Linked DNA regions of Caenorhabditis elegans. The protein of the gene in region 4 interacts with the protein of the main gene of each other region in a pairwise test. Each region holds a gene or a part of one and is shown on either strand. Other genes may lie near its edges.

Region 1 (3,673 bases), on a different chromosome or scaffold from region 4:
ATTTAAAAAATCGAAAATTTCCTACCTAAAAATATACATTTCAAAATTCAAAAAAATTACTAATAAACTTTCCCCTTCTTTTCATTGAAAAGTGCGAAAAAAGTTGGACATCTATTTATATATATGTAGCGATATGCATTTGAAGGGGTAACTTTTTGTCTCTTTTTCTCAATGCACTTTTCACCTCTTCTTGCTCTCACTCAACTACTACGTAGTAGCAGAACAAACAACAGGGACCAAGTGGGTCGAGTTTTCGATTTTTCCTTGATTCTGAAAACAAAAATTCGAAAAATACTAATCAATTATAAATTTTAAAACATTTTCGGTCATCTTCTATAAAATCTTATCAACATAATTTCAATACAACAATAGTTTTCTTAATATTTCTAATTGTTTTTCCGGGTCTCGAAATGATTATTCCTGAAAAACAGAGCTCGAAACTACAGTACTCTTTAAAGGTACATCCACCTTTTTTCCATTCAACAAAAAATGTTGTGTGAATACCAGGTACCAAATTTATTAGCTTCAGCACTTTTGAAAGGACCCATTTAACAAAAAAACTGGTAGTGAGAAACATTTATTCATCATTTCCTAGATTTACAGAAATACAATCTTCAAGAATTTTACTTCTTCAAACAACACTGCCCGGAGACATTTCCGCACGGCGAATAGTTTTGTTGACATCCGCACTGACTATTTTGCATTGGTTGACATGCCATTTGGGCCGGCTGATTACAGGATTGATTGCAGGATGTCGAGCAAGCTGGAGCACACTGTTGGGAGGCCGTGGTTCTAGTTTGGCACTGCTGTTGGCATTGTTGCTGGCACTGGGGAACACATTGGGAGGTCTGTGGGGAGGCTTGCACGTAGATGGTTATGGTTTGAGTGTTGCTGTTCTGGCAGGAGTTCTGACACTGCTGGCAGTTGGTGGAAGTTTGTTGAGAGCATTGTGGAGCACATTGTTGTTGGCATTGAGTTTGTTGGTAAGGGTTGTAGTAGTTTTGGTTTTGGTACTGGTTCTGGTTGTACTGATTTTGGATCTGGTTTGGATTTTGGTACTGATTTTGGTTCTGGTACTGATTTCCTTGCTGATTGTACCCTCCATACTGCATTTGATTATACGGATCCTGATTATTGTACATCATATTTCCTGTGGACCCACATTCCTGCTGGCACTGCTGCTGACAAATTGGCTGGCACTGTTGCGCGGTCTGCTGTTGAGTACACTGCTGCATGCATCGGTTCTCACACTCTGGAAGACAACTTTGCGACGCTGGAATTGGTGTGGAAGTCATCGGATTGCAAGACGATGTCTGGCAGGATTGCTGACACGTTGGCTGGCATTGAGTGTTGGTGTTAGATTGGCACTGTTGACTGCAGGACTGTTGACAAGCAGGCATGCATTGAGACGTCTGCAATTGATATTGCTGGCTGCTGGCGCAAGAGCATGGAGTTGAAGGTTGGCAGGAGCAGCTGTATTGTTGTGAGGCCTGCTGGCAGGAGCAGGTCGGCTGAACCGATTGAGCACATCCGCAGGAGGCTTGACGGGTTTCGCGGATTGAGGAGGCCTGAAATCAAATTGAGTTGAGAAACACGTCGTTAATTGGAATGCTTCTATCAATTTTAAACGTCACTACGAGATTTTTATCGGCCCACATTAAAACAGGGTCGGTCTACTTCCATATACGGGAATACAGATATTACTCTAAAAAAGGAGATTTTTCAGTTAATGATGTCGAAAATTGAAATTCGAAGAGGTTCAAAAACAGTCGTTAAAGCGCCAATTCACATTTCAAGTAGTTTTGTTAACACGAAATTGCGAAAAGAAAATACAATTATTAGGCTTTCTCTCAGCACTTAGAAATTATAAATTTTCAAATTCCTTACAATTAGTTTAAAATTGAAAAACTAACCTGAGCCACAGCCAAAGCAACTGCAAACAATATAATCACACAACGCATCGCTCAATGGGATTCTGTGAGTATACCCCGTGTAATTCTTGCCACTTTTATACTTTTTCATGTTGTTTACCAACCTACACTTTTGTTTCTAGTTAGACACGTTTTTTTTTCTTGAAAATCCTAATCAAAAGTTTACAATGTTTGCATTTTTCATTGACCCGATAAATCAACTTATCTTTTGTTTGTTTGTTGAGCATGATGGAGGAAAACTGGTTCTTAATCAGAGTTATTCATGTTTGTTCAGTTATTTTTGAAATAAATATATAAGTTTGAAGTAAAACAGAATTAAATTCTCAATTTATTATTCATTCCCCATAATCGTTTATTTGCATTACACTCTCCTCTGGCCAGCGCTATCTCTGTTCCTCTCAATTGTGTATACCTCCGTGAAGCATGTCTCTCGTGGCCGAATGGTCTAGTGGTATGATTCTCGCTTTGGGTGCGAGAGGTCCCGGGTTCAATCCCCGGTTCGGCCCATTCCTTTTGAAAAAAATTGAGAAAGAAACAATTTTTCAACAATGAAAAAAAAAACAAAAAAATCAAGCCACCTAGGGGACTCGAACCCCTGACCTTAAGATTAAAAGTCTCACGCTCTACCAACTGAGCTAAGGAGGCCACGGCGGCGGTGTTAGAATTGGTCTTTAGAAAACGGAATCGGGAGAGAATCGAGAGGCGCGCCTGGTGGTCAACTAGTACATCTAGTTGGCATGGAAAATTTTAATGTTTTCAAACATAAATATGTATTAATTGAACAAATATTTGTGAAAAATTTTGCATAAAAAATTGCTGTATAAGGTGTTACAACGGCTTTAAAGTTTAGTTTTCAATTATTTTTAATTGAAAATTTGACGCAAAAATGTTTAATTTCATCTTTCTAGTGTAAAGTTTATATTCAGTAATTTTTTTTCTCGATAACATAACTGAACTGTGTTGTTTCAAATAAAATATCTTCTATTCAGCAGATTTTCAAAACCGAAAAAAAATCCAGAATTTCAACACATCGATGACCAATTTAGTCTCATTTCCTGCCGTCACTTTCCCTCATTCCCGATTTTCTCAGTTTTCATTTCTGTTTCCCCTCCTTAAAAAGCGTCTATTCAAAAGGGATTTCCGTCGATCATAACCAGACGATATCGCTTAAATCGATCTAATAATGTTGGAATGTCCATTCTCCCCCCTCACCCGTTTCCTCACTTCTTTGCCTCCCTGTTGTTCTTGTTTTCTCCCGTATTGTTTTCCTAAATCTCGGACAAAAACTAGAGGCCTAAAACGTGGGCCTGATGAGGCCCTTACTCTCATGTTTCCCCGTGATTTTCGCGGTTTTTGGGCCGATTATTGCGGTTAAGCCCGTATGGAAGACGCCCGTCTCTGAGCCGAATCCAAATGCGAATCTCGAAGTTTTAAAGGGACACTCGAATTTGGCGAAGGTGAGTTTTTTTTTCAGAAATTGTTTTTGTAAATTCTGGTTTCTCTCGTGAAATAGTAGCATTCGTAAAACTTTAATTGAAAAATAAAACGCTCCAGCTGAGGCTCGTGTGTTGAACTAAACATTTTTGGTATATTGAATTTTAAAACAGGGGGACTAACTATAAGATTTAAAGGGATACCGAGAAATCCAGTTTTTTTTAATTTTAAAAGTATTTTAATTCAAACAACTTGGAACAGCTGCTCATGCCTTACTGGTCACACATTTTCACTCAAAAAACAGTAAT
Region 2 (5,192 bases), on a different chromosome or scaffold from region 4:
GTAGCTAAAAAGTTTCACTCGCGCCATGACCCCAACTTTCAGATTTCTTACCTTTCATCGCCTAATATATCTAATACATTATCAAATTTCAACTGTAAAATGGATCCAACAATAATCAGAGACAGTCCTCCCACCTGGAAATTTATTTTTTTGTAGCAATTTAATATTGTAATCTACCGTACCCATAATACTAAATTAGCCAGGAATAGAAGATATTTAACTATGGTAACTCCTCCTTCTACCATGATTTGTTATCACGATGTCATTTGAATAAGAAGAGTTTGTAGACGTAGAAGATGTAGAAAAAGACGTTAGTTGGAAAAGGAAACAAGAATGTGAAGAAGAGCAAGAAGGCGACAACACAATTGAGTCGAAGGGGCGGATGCTCCGAACTCCGCCCATTTTGTGGTTGAGAGCAGTTGATACTTCTTCTTCTTCTTCTTTGCCACTTTGTCTCTCTTGAGTCGCGAGCTTTAGGGAATATAAGGAATATTTTGAGACGGGTTTTGATGCAAAGAAGCACCCCTCTGGAGGGCTCCGATAAAATCTAAAAGTTTTGGTGCTCAAATTCATCACTAAAAAAATTTGAGAAAACAAACACACAAGAATAGAATGGGAGTTTAGGGAAATAACAAAAAAAAAAGAAAACAGCTGGAACAGAAGAACAAGTGTGGAGATGATGGAAAGCGAAATTTTGGGTCAAGAAACAAGAAACAGGCAACAAATTAATTTGAATAGAATTTGAATTGAAGTGACTAGATTGGGCGAGCCTTGATCTGTCCGATACGTCCTTTCGCAAGCTGAAAAGATTATTTTAATTGAGAGGTTTAAAAGTGCCGGCAAAAAATTGTTTTAAAAAATTTCTTAGCATTATTACCGAGTTAATTGAAGCATCAATAATTTGAAAAAAAATCGAACAATTTTTTTTTACATTTTTTTTTCAAATTTTGTTGATGCCGATGAGGAACAAAAACCATAAATATTATTGTCTTCAATAGAAGAAAAATTACCAACATTTTAATTTTCTTAAAATAAAAAAAGCGGCACGCTTGGTGCATGGCTGTCGTGTTTTTTTTGTTGTTTTTTCGGACCAATAAAACAAAAAAAGGGAGAGGGGAAAAATTCGATATTTTTTTGTTTTTTTTTGGCTCAAAAGGTTTTTTGGTGACTCCCATGGTTGTGAGTGTGAAAATATTTTCTTTTAGTTGTTTCATACTTTTTCAATATGAAATATGAAAAATTACCTTTCGTTTCTCCTCGGCGAACATAGTCTTGTTAGCCTTTTTCTCAACTCTTCTCAGCTTTCTGGCCTCTTTTACAGCTTTTTTCCGCAGACTTCTCTGTTCCGGAGTTTCATTTTTTGGTCGGAAAGTAGAAACAGTTGAAAAAACGCTTTCCTTATCATCATCATCCTCCATATCCTCATCATCATCTTCATCTTCTTCAGCAATATCCATCTCTTCAACAGCTTTATCGAATCGTTTCAATGCCTTTCTGGATAAACCACGTGGCTCCTTGATGAGTGTCGGATGATTGTAGATATTAGTGTATTGAGTAGCAAATGATTCACAATCCCATTTCATTTTCTTATTTGTACCCTCATCCACTTCCACAATCTCGTATTCTTCTTTGTCTTTGATGACTCCCTCTTCAATGAGACGCATTCGTTCACGTACATAATGCTTGGCGAGCTGTAAAATTAAATGATGAATGAAAATAATTCTTTTGAAAAGTACTACCTCTTCATCATACTCTGCATTTGAAGGTCCTTTGTCATTTATAAGTTTGTGAAGTCGTCCAGCGTTCGGTTCAAGTGCTCCTCCAACATCATAGTCGTCACCATCAAGCTCTCCGATCTGAAAATTAATTCATTTTTTAAAACTGGGTCAGATTAAATCTCAAAAATAATAAATAAAAGTAGAATGTTTTCTGGTAACACATAATTTTCTTGAAGTTTATTTTTCATAAAAATGAGTTTATTTAGAGGAAACCGAAAGATTGAAAAATTTTTTGAGAAAACTAAAAAATGTATGTTTCATTAAATCAAGTCTTGTTTATGTTGAAGATTATTTTATTCTAAAAAGAGGAAAACTTGCCAAAACTTAAAGAATTTTCCGAAAAAAAAACTAAAAAACGATAATTTTCGATTTTTTAATTTTTAAAAATTAAAAAATTTTCAATTTTCAATTTTCGATTTTACTGGAAATCTAAATTTTTTCGTTTTCTATGAAAAGCCGATAAGCGAAAAATTTGATTTTTTTAAAAGTTTTTTTTTGATTTTCCGGAAAACCAAAAAATCTAAGAACAATTTTTTAAAAAAAATCTAGTCAAAAAATCATTTTTTTTTAAATCAAGTCTTTCTTATGGTAAAGAGAAAAAATTAAAAACATATCCTTTCATTCTAAAGAGAGGAAAAATGGCGAAAATTTATGGCATTTTTCGAAAACTGTTCGATTTTTAAATAAGTTTAATTATCATATTTTTCAAGCCAATAATTCTGAAATAATACCTGATCGGTGTTGTATTCACGATCCATGAGTTCTTCAAAAGCATTATCAATAACTCTTTGATCAGCTCTTTCAACTCTAATCTCTCCAACAGCCTCTTCTCCAAATAACTCGTCATCATTATAATCATCATACATCTCATCGTCTTCATCGTCATCCTCTTCTTCTTCCGAATCTTCACCTCGTCTTGTACTTCTATAAACTGTAGTTCTTTCATCAAGAAGACCACCAGCAAGTGTGATAAAATTATCTTCAAGTTCTCCGGTGTTACGATCATCTGTCACCTCTTCCAACGCATTTGCAACATCTTCGTCAAAAAATTCCGGTTTCTTAAGAGCACCGACAAGTCCGAAAAGTGGTGGAGCTGGTGGGAATGCTGATGAACCACTCGTTTTGATGGTCGTTTTCTCGACTTCTTCATGAACATTTTCCAGCTTCATCGGCTGAAAATTTAAATGATTATTTTACCAATACAAGAAGATTGTTTTTCGATTATGTTCTAAAAGAGGTGATCGAAAAATTGTTTTTTTTTTGATTTTCCGTAATATGGAAAACTTTTTTTTAATCATCCATAAAATTCAATTTTATGAAATAATGTAAAAAATGCTGATTAAAAAAACATAGAAATTTTTTACTTAAAAGAAGTACAAAGACCAAAATTTTAAGCTATTTTTTGACATATCCTAAAATCTTTTGATTTCATTGAAAAATCGAAAAACAAACACTTTTTTTTAAGTTTCGGTATTTGATCAAATTGATTTTAAGATGACAAACCTCATTAACAGCTCGCATGTGCTGCAAATAATCATAATCATCGTCGTAGTAGACTCCATACTTTTGCTGTTCCTCCAAATGTTCTTGAGTTGGCTTGAATCGTTCACTTCTTTCCCTATTATCCGGAACCAATCGAAAACTTTGACTGGCTTTCTTATCAATGAATGCCTTCCTTTTACCCATTTTGAGGCGAAATTTATGTTTCCAGTAACCTGAAATATGAATTCTATGTTAATTTTTTGTTACTTTTATTGTTGGATCTGAGAAAATAACTGATTGGACAGAACCGGGGCTCATAAAAAATTACTTAAAATTGGACGAATCAAATTAAATATTTCATTAAAATAATATCCGGCAACCCAATATAAATAATTAGCAAAAACAAAACAGTATGGAAAGAGTATAACTTAAACACTACTAACCGGAAACGAAAAATGAGAGCTTTAAAGTTCAGATCTCACACTGAACAAGGAAAAGTGGGAAAGGGTGGGGGATTACCAAAAAAACTGATCAATTAAATAAAAGATTCAACAAGTATTGGCGCCTGCAAAAAGTTTTTGAGACTAATTGCAGGCGCCATGAAAGGCGTATTAGCGGGTTCCACGAATGGGAGAGACGATTGAAAAATGGATATTTAGAAGGCTCGTGGCTTTTGAGGATGACGACGTTGCTGACCACCTTGAGATCCCCAATTTCCTCGCTTTCCGTCTTGTCCTTGTCCTCCACGTCGTTCTCCTTGGTATCCACCAGATCCTTTCTGCTTATCTCCTTGCCGCTCGTTCCTTCCTGGAAACCACGATCCTGGACCTTGATAACCACCACGTCCAGTGCGCGGCTCCAGAATTTGTTCATTGTTTTCGGCAAGAGTTTGAAGTTTGTCAGACAAGTTGAGAGCAAGCATTTGAAGTCTGGAAGGTTCAACACGGTGCATGATGAGACAGTCGGTGGGCTCGTCAAGTGTAGCCGAAAGTTCCTCTTGGATGATCATTTTACTGAAAAAATAAAAAAAAATTATGTACTGTCTAGTAAAATATTACAAATACCTGATGATGCTATGAACATCTTTCTTTGAAAGTTCGAACAAATCCGCAAGCTTCTTGAGCGAAACAGTGGCATAAACTGTAGAGTATGTGAGCAAATAAGTTCTGAGAGATTCCTCTTGAATACGTCTCACAACCATTCCCTTAACAGTCTCAGCGTTATGGAAAAGATTCCAGACCTTCTGGTTCATCTTGTCATTGACGATATAGTCTTGACACTTTTTCCAATCTCCATTCAACATTGCTTTCGATGCGGCGACAACATGTTCACGGGTATTCTCTGGTGGTCCAGTGAGAGAAGCTTTCTCGCTTTGCTTCAATTGGTAATGGAAACTTCTGCTGAGCATACGACGACGCATTTCGAATTCGCAACTAGCCATGTGTGGAATTTCGAGAAGCATCGAACAGATCAGATAGACACACTCCATAAGTTCAACATTGATGTGCATATGATATGGAACTTGACGGGAACGATCAATCTTCTCTTGTTCAGCAGTCTTTTCGTGCTGACGAGTTCCAACAGCTTGAGCAAGCAACTCCTTGGCACGTTGGGTATTTTGAATTTCAGATAGTCCTTGATGAGCTTCGCGAATGAAACCGTGTCGGAAAGCGCAGAGACCGAGTTGGCAGATAGTTCTGTTGTAGAGGATTTGAGTGTCGACATCAGAATGATCAACGATAGCTTGCATGTGACTCATAAGAAGAAGATCTCTGGCGCGGTGCCACTTGTCATGAACAGCCAGATAGTAAACATGGCAGAGCATAGCACGTTGTCTCAATCGTTTCTCATCATCAAGTGTATAGATCTTATTACACAAGTAATCCATCAACTTTCCAGCATCCTCCTCATTTTGATCTTGATATTTGTAGT
Region 3 (4,976 bases), 5.8 Mb from region 4:
TTAATATAAATTTAAAAAAAAAACGGATTTTTTAATGTATTTTTAGAGAAAAATCTGATTTTTTAATGTATTTTTAGAGAAAAATCTGATTTTTTGATATTTTTACTGAAAAATCGGAATAATTTCAATTTTTAATATATTTTTAGAGAAAAATCGGAATTTTCTCGTTTTTTATAAGAAAAATTAGCATTTTTCAATGTTTTTAAATTTTTTTAAAGAAGAAATTGGAATTTTTTCGGTTTTTTAATATATTTTTTGGGAAAAATCGGTTTTTTTTTTTCAATTTTTAATATATTTTCTGCGATTTAATTAGAATATTATCTTCTCTACCTTATTCCGGAAATATTTTCTACATTCAAGGCATAAAAAATGCCGAGAAATTGAAGTCCAGCTCCGTTCCTCTTCGGTTTTTTGTCGCCGCATTCTTTTTTTCTGTTAAAAAAACAATTTTTCGCTGCAATTTCCGTGAAAAGCATTTAAAAATCGTTGAAACGAATGAAAAATTGGAAATTGAACAAAAAAATGGCCAGAAAATCGAATTTTTATGATGAAAAACCGAAAAAATGAGGAAAAAATGAGGAAAAATGAAGAGAAAATAGAAAAATCGATAAATAACAGAGTTCTTCAGTGAGTGGCGAGAGAGTGTGTGAGATGAAGAGACGCAGGGTGTTCGACAGGAGAATTTATTCATAAATCCGCCCAATTAATCGGGTTTCGACCGGAATTTTCGAGCTCCGTGTTGCATTTCGAGAAGCATTTGCATCCCCACCACTTGCGAGCACTCAGCGGAGACGGATGGGCGGTCTGGAAATTTTTTAAAATTTTTTAAAAAATTAAATTTGAGTTTAGTGGAAATATTTTTAAAATACGCTAAAAAATAGGTTTTTTTTTTCACAAAAATCAAAAATTTTGCGATTTTCCACGTCTGAAACCAATCAATTTTTCCCTTTGAAATTAATTTAAATTTTGGTGGAAAATGTCAAAAATTGCCAGAAAAACTTTAAAAAATTCAAGAATTTCCCACAAAATTGTAGTAAAATTGTCAATTTTCAGTTAAAAACCAAAAAAAAAAACAAGATTCTCCAGGTTTTGCTCCAAATTTGCTCCTTGTTTAAAATATCTATGTGAAAAATTGGAAAAAAAAGTCCCTTTTATTGTAGAAAATCGACGATTTTCAAACGCGCGCCAGACATTGAAGCGCGCTGTGTCTTGTGCCGATTTACGAGCCAGCTTTCAGCTTTTTATTCATTTTTATCGGTTTTTTTCGTTGAAAATTGTGTATTTTCGAGCCAATTGAACATTTTATGATCAGAAAACCGCGAAAATTTCCTATTTTTAGATGAAAAAGGAGGTAAATTCAGAGAAAATCGGAATTTTTTGAGTTTTTAAAGAGAAAATTGGAGTTTTTAAATAGAAATTTTCTCGAATTTTTTTTTCGATTAAAAAACAATTTCTGTTTTTCGATTTTTCTCTGAAAAAATAGAAAAAAAAAATTTTAATTTTCTCTTTTAAAAAATCGAAAAAATTCTAATTTTCTCCTTAAAAATTTCAAAAAAATTCCGATTTTCTCTTTTAAAAAATGGAAAAAATTCCGATTTTCTCTGGAAAACTATATGAAAAAATGGAAAAAATTCCGATTTTCTTTGAAAAAATCGAAAATATTCCGATTTTCTCTAAAAAATCAAAAAAAAAATCGAAAAAATTCCGATTTTCTTTGAAAAAAATTAAAAAAAACGAAAAAATTCCGATTTTCTCTGGAAAGAAATAGAAAAATTCCGGTTTTCTATTTAAAAAAAAAAAGAAGAAAAATTCCGATTTTCTTTGAAAAAATCGAAAAAATTCGGTTTTTTTTCTCTGAATTTAAATCATTTTCCATCTAAAAATAAGGAAATTTTGCGAGTTTTATAATAATAAAATGTTCAAAAAACCGAAAAAAAAAATGAAGAAACAGCAAAAAATTGGCTTTAAAAAAACAAATCTCGTAAATCGACACAACACGGTGCGTTCCAATGAGAATCGTCTCTGGCTCTCTGGCGCGCGTTTGAAAATCGTCGATTTTCTACAATAAAAGGGACGTTTTTTTCCAATTTTTCACATAGATATTCGGAATCAGGGGAAAATTTAGAGCAAACCCCTGAATTTTTTTTAGTTTTTAACTGAAAAGTGACAATTTTACTACCATTTTATGGGAAAATCTTGAATTTTTTTCTAGGTTTTCTGGCAATTTTTACCTAAATTTCCAGCAAAATCGCAAAATTTCCGATTTTACAGGTGAAAATCGGCAATTTTTGTCGTTTTCCAACACATTTTTAGGGAAAAAATCTTAAAATCAACTTTTCCATGCTTTTTCCAGAATTCTATCCAGAAAAATAATGACCTTTATAACTACATGTTTCTTTGTATCAATCAGTTCTTCCTTCTTATGAGCAAATCCTCCCCATAACAAAAAGACAATAGGCTTCTCCGATTGTCGCGAAATAATCCGAATAACAGTGTCCGTGAAAGTTTGCCAGCCGATCTTCGCGTGAGAATTCGCCTCGTGAGCCCGAACCGTCAACGTGGCATTCAACATGAACACTCCCTGACGTGTCCAGCCGAGCAGGTTCCCGTGATCGGGCCGCTTGAAGCCTTCAATATCGGATTCAAGCTCTTTATAGATATTTTTCAGCGATGGCGGCGGTTTTACACCCTTCTGAACACTGAAGGAGAGCCCGTGAGCTTGATTATCATCGTGATAGGGGTCTTGACCGATGATAACCACGCTGATCTCGTCGAATGGCAGAAGATTGAATGTTGTGAAAATTTGTGTGGGCGGTGGGAACACTTGCTTGCCCTTGTTCACTTCGGAATTCAAGAATTTCTCGATTTTCGAAATATAGCCTTTTTTGAATTCCTCCTCTAAAAGTTTCGACCAAGATTCACCGGTTAGCAGGGATTTTAGCAGAATTTCAGTTGGTTCTGGTGCTTGTAACTTCATTTTCTTGACTTCTTGATTTTCATTGCCCGCGGGAACTTTTTCCGGAATATTTTCAGTATTTGAAGCGGATTTTCTGAAATTTCGGTGGTTTTTTTTGAATTTTCAGAGCGGGAAATACCGTTTAGAGGCAGCGGATGCTTTGAGGAACATGTCCGGAATTCTTACAGTCTTCGACATTCTGAAATAAACGGAAATCTAGAAGAAAAAAAAAGAATTTTTATTCAAAAAACACGAGTGGAAATGAGATAAAATAAACCTGAGGGCATAGATAAGGATATTTGAAAAATTAAATCACAAAAATGGGAAATTATTCGAGTTATTTGCAGGCAAACCGGTGAATTCGTAACCTGAAAATGAAGAAAATCGATAAAAATCATTTAATTTCGCATTGACTACGGTAGGTAATTGTGTGCACTTTTGCGTGGCGGTGTATGCACAGAATTGATTTTTAAAAAAAATTAATTTTTTTTTAAATTTTAAAATTAATTTATTGAATTTTTCGACGATTTTCTTGAACTTTTCTCACACATTTTTGTGCAAAAACTCTTATTTTCAAACTTTCAGACTCAAAACGCACTGGAAAATCATTAGAAATGGCACCGAAGAAGAAAATGGTAATTTTTATGGCGAAAATTACTTGAAACAGACAAAAAAATCCGAATTATCGAAAAAAAGGACTCTCCCGCCGAAATGTCTCGTTTGAATGGGGTGGCGGCAGCTAGGCCGTGGTTGCACGCGGTCACGTCCAGATGGTCGATAATATTGGCGTTATTGGAGGAGTACGGGGGTTTTTAATGTATAATAATAAGAATAATAATTCAAAAAAAGTGCACTTTCGGACGCTGCAGCACGGAAAAGTGGCCAAAATTAGAGATTTTAGTTAAAATTAGCGCTTTTTTTTTCGAAATTTTGATTTTTTTTTTCACAATTTTCACAATTCCTTTAAAGGTGGGGTAGCGCTAGTGGGGAAATTGCTTTAAAACATGCCTATGGTACCACAATGACCGAATTTCATGATAAAAAATTCAAAAAAAAATTTATAAATTTTATATGATTTTTTGAAAATTGAAAAAATCACAGTTTTCCCCTAATTCCTATTTGAATTACCGCCAATTGAATTTGTTCGATGGGGCGCGCTTGCACGTTTTTAAATTTATTTATTTTATTTTTTGTTATTTTCCACCGATTTTTAATGTTTTCGGTGTATTTTTGCTCGAATTTTAGAGAAAAAATCAACATAAATGCAAATTTTCGATTAAAAAGCACGCTTACAGGCGTAAAAATGAAAAAGTAACGCTTTTAAACGATTTCGAACCTGAATTAATTAATTTCACTGATTTACGCCTGTAAGCGCACTTTTTAATCGAAAATTTGCATTTATTTTGACTTTTTCTCTAAAATTCGAGCAAAAATACACCGAAAACATTAAAAATCGGTGGAAAATAACAAAAAATAAAATAAATAAATTTAAAAACGTGCAAGCGCGCCCCATCGAACAAATTCAATTGGCGGTAATTCAAATAGGAATTAGGGGAAAACTGTGATTTTTCCAATTTTCAAAAAATCATATAAAATTTAGAAAAAATTTTTGAATTTTTTAATCATGATATTCGGTCATTGTGGTACCATAGGCGTATTTTAAAGCAATTTCCCCACAAAGCGTAGTCCACCTTTAAAATTTTTTGGCACATTTTTCTCAATTCCTTTTAAAAAATGTACCTTGATTCTGAAATCCAGGCTGCTGAGAAACCGTGTCAAACCCTCTGCCAACAAGATTATCCATGTATCCAGTGGTTCCACCGCCGTACCCATATCCATTGCCGAATCCATTGTTGTAGGTCCAACTACCAGGCTGATTTTGAAACTGGAACTGCTGGAAATTGTTGTTGGCTGCGAAGCTTTCTGTCGGAGGATTCGGCGTTGTTTCAAAAACGATATTCGGCTTCGGCTCAGGCTTCTTCCTCGGCGGCCTTTTTCTCTTCGGCTTCGGGATCGTCGC
Region 4 (3,319 bases):
CCGATAGCTCCTGGAGCATTTGCGGAGCTGATGATTTGACGGGTCACTTTTTGAGCCATGTCGAGCACTTTGGTTCTCCTGAACAGTTGTATTAGTCAGTTTTCTTTAGAAATAAGATTGAAAATAAATGAAAAAGTTGACAAAATGCCTCCACCACCACATTTTCTACCAACTAACTTGACCGCATCTTGCTCTGAAGTCTCCTCTGCGCCTGTTTCAGACCGTTTAAGCGCATTTGCAACTGGTGGAAGCATCGGCATTGTTAGAACGGCAAGAAGAACCGAAAAAGAGAAGACGTACATTTTTGAAGGGGTTAAAAGTTGCAAAGAGGAGAAATGAAATGAAACGAAATGAAGAGAAGCGCGACGATATGAGACACCGAGGTCACCCTTATCACCGGCGTGTCGCGTTTATGTAATTGGGGGTTCTGCAACGAAACAGTTTCCTAGACTCCTCCCTTTCGATTTTTGAAAGTACGTTGATTGTAAACTTTAAATATCATTACACTGAAAATAACGAGTAACAATTAACCAACAATTTATTGGGTATGTAACAACAGTTTATTGAACTGGAGCAACTGGTTGAGCTGCTGGGACTTGAACATCCTTCTTCTCCTCCTTGTGCTGGCTGTGTGGTTCCTTTGGAAGGACTTCCTCTTGTGGCTCGACGATTTGGACGTGGTCTGGGAGGGCGTTTCTTGGTCCGTTCTGTCCGCGTGGGTCGTATGGAAGCATGATCTTGACCTTGATACCGATGACTCCTGAAAATAAAAAAATGAAGATGGAAACTTACAAAATAGTAATACAAATTTTTAAACTTGATTTTTAAAATTAAAAAACTGAAAAGCAACATCTAAACTTTTCGAACGACATGTTTTTTGCGATCAAAAATCCTTTCTTAACCAAATCTTCCCCGTAAAAAATCACTGACCCTGACGGAGTTGAACGTGTCTGACGGCTTGTTGGATGTAGTCGTTGACTGGGTGTCCAGAGTGAATCATGAGTCCATCAACGAACTTCATGGCCTTAGCACGCTGTCCACGAAGCTTTCCAGAGACGATAACCTATAATTTTTAATGAATACAAATTCCATATAATACAAGTTTCGAATATTAGATGCAATAAAGTTAAATTTTTTGTCTATTAAAATAAAGTAATCATACCTCAACTCCTTGAGCTCCAGACTCCATGATGAAACGGAGAACTCCGTAGCAAGCACGACGGACGGCAAGACCTCCGACGAGCTTGTATCTGAGGGATTCGCACTGAGCGACAGCGCAGAGTCCTCTGTTGGAAACCTTCTCGGCGTAGAGCTAAAAAGTTAAATGTATTTTATTTTTCAATAAATGTATTTTTACCTCGACGGATCCCTCCTCGAATCCGAATCTCTTTTGGACAACCGAGGTGAGCTCCTTAATTCTGCGTCCTCGCTCTCCCAAAACGTTTTGGGTGCGGGTCGCCATGATGATGACCTCAGCTCTGGCTGGGGTACTGCGAACCTGCAAAACTTGAAGCTTAAATGCTATATTTTTGATTAATAATTTTACCTCGACTCCGGAGTATCCATCCTCAGCAAGCTCCTTCATCAGGAAGTTGTTAAGCTCAGCCTTGAAGATTCCGCCGATGACGGCCTTCTTCTTCTTGGTCACGTTTTGATTGGCAGCCATGTTGCCCACTGTTTGACGAAAGCTGAAAATTTGAATATTAATATTAGCGAAGATATTGATAGAAAAGAGTTATAATCCGAACAAAACACAAGAAATATATTTGAAAAAAAAGTATTTTGGGCAAGGTTTTTGTTAAGAAAACCCTAAATTACGTAACTAAAAACTACATTAATATAAAAACATGTTTTAATACAAAATATACATTGAAACATGTGAATTTTTTCAATTTTTATACAAAACATGTTAAAAATCCAGTTTCACGCGAAAAATTCAAAAATTTCAGGCAAAAATCGAAAAGAAATTTAGTTGCTTTCAACGTTTATCGTTGAAGCGTTGAATACTCAGTCAACGGCCAGGCCAATTGGCTGCGTACGTCACCGCAAGACCATGAGACCGAAAAATGGCATGCGCCTTTAATTGCCTCTTTTTTACCCTAGTCACCGAACGAATTTTTTGAATAATTTCTTCGAAGTTGAACAGTTTTCTTTATTTTTACCAGTTTTTTAATTCTGAACATCTCATTTTCTTTTGAAGTTTGCACTAGTTGTTTGAACTGCTTTGCCTGGTGATTAATCAACTATTTATTGATTTCTTTCTCAATTCCGTTTTTAAGGATCAAACATGGATGAAGAGAAAATTGTGTTAATTGGAAATGAATCAGATCTCCTACACTGTGGATACAATTTTGCACTTAGAGCTGGCGGAAAAAGGTGAGAACTGAAGTGACTTATAGATTGCAACAATGATTAAACTTGCAGATATCCCAGTGCCGCTCACTACACTCATTATCAAATTCTTATGTCTTTAAATCTACCCGAAACGGCAGTTGAAGAACTTTTATGTACGAACAGTTGCGATGTTCACCAAAAAGCGCTTGTTATTCTCCAAGAAAATATGCCAGACGGCCATACAATAAATTCATTGGCAGCATATCTCTCAGAAAGTCTTCGTTCATATTCAATTCATGCACTGCAACTCCGAGCAGAAAGTGATAAAGGTGAGCTTTTATAAGTAAGAAATAGAATCTAATATGCTTGAAAAACATGCAGACTTCGAAAAGACTCTTATGAAGACCAATGAAGCCCTCTTGATTGTCTGTGATGAGAAAAACCCTCAACTTGGTATAGGAATGAACGATAAAACGTTCATGGAGTGGATGGCCAAAGAAAAGGCAGATTCGAGACAAATATCCTACTGGATGAAAAATGAGCACACTAAACCAGCTGATTTGGGTCAAAATAAACTAGGGCAAGAAATATGAGAAACGAGATTTTCTTAAACATTAAAAATTTAGACAATATTTAATGTGGCTGAGGTTTGAGATTCGAGAAAGGAAGAAGCAAGGGATATTGACACGTCCTGTAGTGGAAGTAGCCGGATTATCGACTGATAAAGATGATGAACCAATTATGATTTCAATTAATGATCTTGTAATAAGTTTGGAGGTAAGCATTCAATCATCATGATTTTTTTAAACTATCATCATAATTTCAGGGTATATTCCGACCACTTTCAAACTATTACGCGTTTCCGTTTGAAATGAAACGAGAAAGATATCGATCTGTAGAGCATTACGCATATGAGAAGCTTTTTAATTCGCTGAAACTTGACGAGAAAGCAATTGAGAAAATTCAAACAACACCTGCTCCTCTG

Evidence for each region.
Region 1: the proteins of rps-3 (region 4) and pqn-71 interact in a two-hybrid assay, tested with the Caenorhabditis elegans proteins (one study listed by BioGRID).
Region 2: the proteins of rps-3 (region 4) and T23D8.3 interact in a two-hybrid assay, tested with the Caenorhabditis elegans proteins (2 studies listed by BioGRID).
Region 3: the proteins of rps-3 (region 4) and ung-1 interact in a two-hybrid assay, tested with the Caenorhabditis elegans proteins (one study listed by BioGRID).

The regions. Positions count from the first base shown.
Region 1 is NC_003283.11:15,463,989-15,467,661, reverse strand, and holds pqn-71 (Prion-like-(Q/N-rich)-domain-bearing protein), read right to left. Parts: upstream 1,986-3,673; 5' UTR 1,962-1,985; coding exon 1,914-1,961; intron 1,569-1,913; coding exon 624-1,568; 3' UTR 562-623; downstream 1-561. Other genes in the region: rocf-1 (ZP domain-containing protein), read left to right, coding at 3,242-3,388.
Region 2 is NC_003279.8:9,972,823-9,978,014, forward strand, and holds T23D8.3 (Protein LTV1 homolog), read right to left. Parts: upstream 3,494-5,192; 5' UTR 3,465-3,493; coding exon 3,282-3,464; intron 2,951-3,281; coding exon 2,510-2,950; intron 1,857-2,509; coding exon 1,740-1,856; intron 1,692-1,739; coding exon 1,245-1,691; intron 801-1,244; coding exon 756-800; 3' UTR 559-755; downstream 1-558. Other genes in the region: tsp-7 (Tetraspanin), read right to left, coding at 52-134, 183-245; eif-3.C (Eukaryotic translation initiation factor 3 subunit C), read right to left, coding at 3,916-4,273, 4,325-5,192.
Region 3 is NC_003281.10:11,970,936-11,975,911, forward strand, and holds ung-1 (Uracil-DNA glycosylase), read right to left. Parts: upstream 3,156-4,976; 5' UTR 3,155-3,155; coding exon 3,096-3,154; intron 3,051-3,095; coding exon 2,378-3,050; intron 805-2,377; coding exon 688-804; 3' UTR 532-687; downstream 1-531. Other genes in the region: Y56A3A.28 (C2H2-type domain-containing protein), read right to left, coding at 331-423; Y56A3A.30 (SP-RING-type domain-containing protein), read right to left, coding at 3,269-3,324, 4,697-4,976; Y56A3A.31 (SOSS complex subunit A homolog), read left to right, coding at 3,571-3,591. UniProt on the Caenorhabditis elegans protein: Excises uracil residues from the DNA which can arise as a result of misincorporation of dUMP residues by DNA polymerase or due to deamination of cytosine.
Region 4 is NC_003281.10:6,205,172-6,208,490, reverse strand, and holds rps-3 (Small ribosomal subunit protein uS3), read right to left. Parts: upstream 1,689-3,319; 5' UTR 1,667-1,688; coding exon 1,547-1,666; intron 1,499-1,546; coding exon 1,358-1,498; intron 1,313-1,357; coding exon 1,163-1,312; intron 1,064-1,162; coding exon 931-1,063; intron 761-930; coding exon 561-760; 3' UTR 526-560; downstream 1-525. Other genes in the region: RutC family protein C23G10.2, read right to left, coding at 1-78, 178-260; sna-3 (NADAR domain-containing protein), read left to right, coding at 2,288-2,376, 2,425-2,663, 2,716-2,914, 2,961-3,111, 3,161-3,319.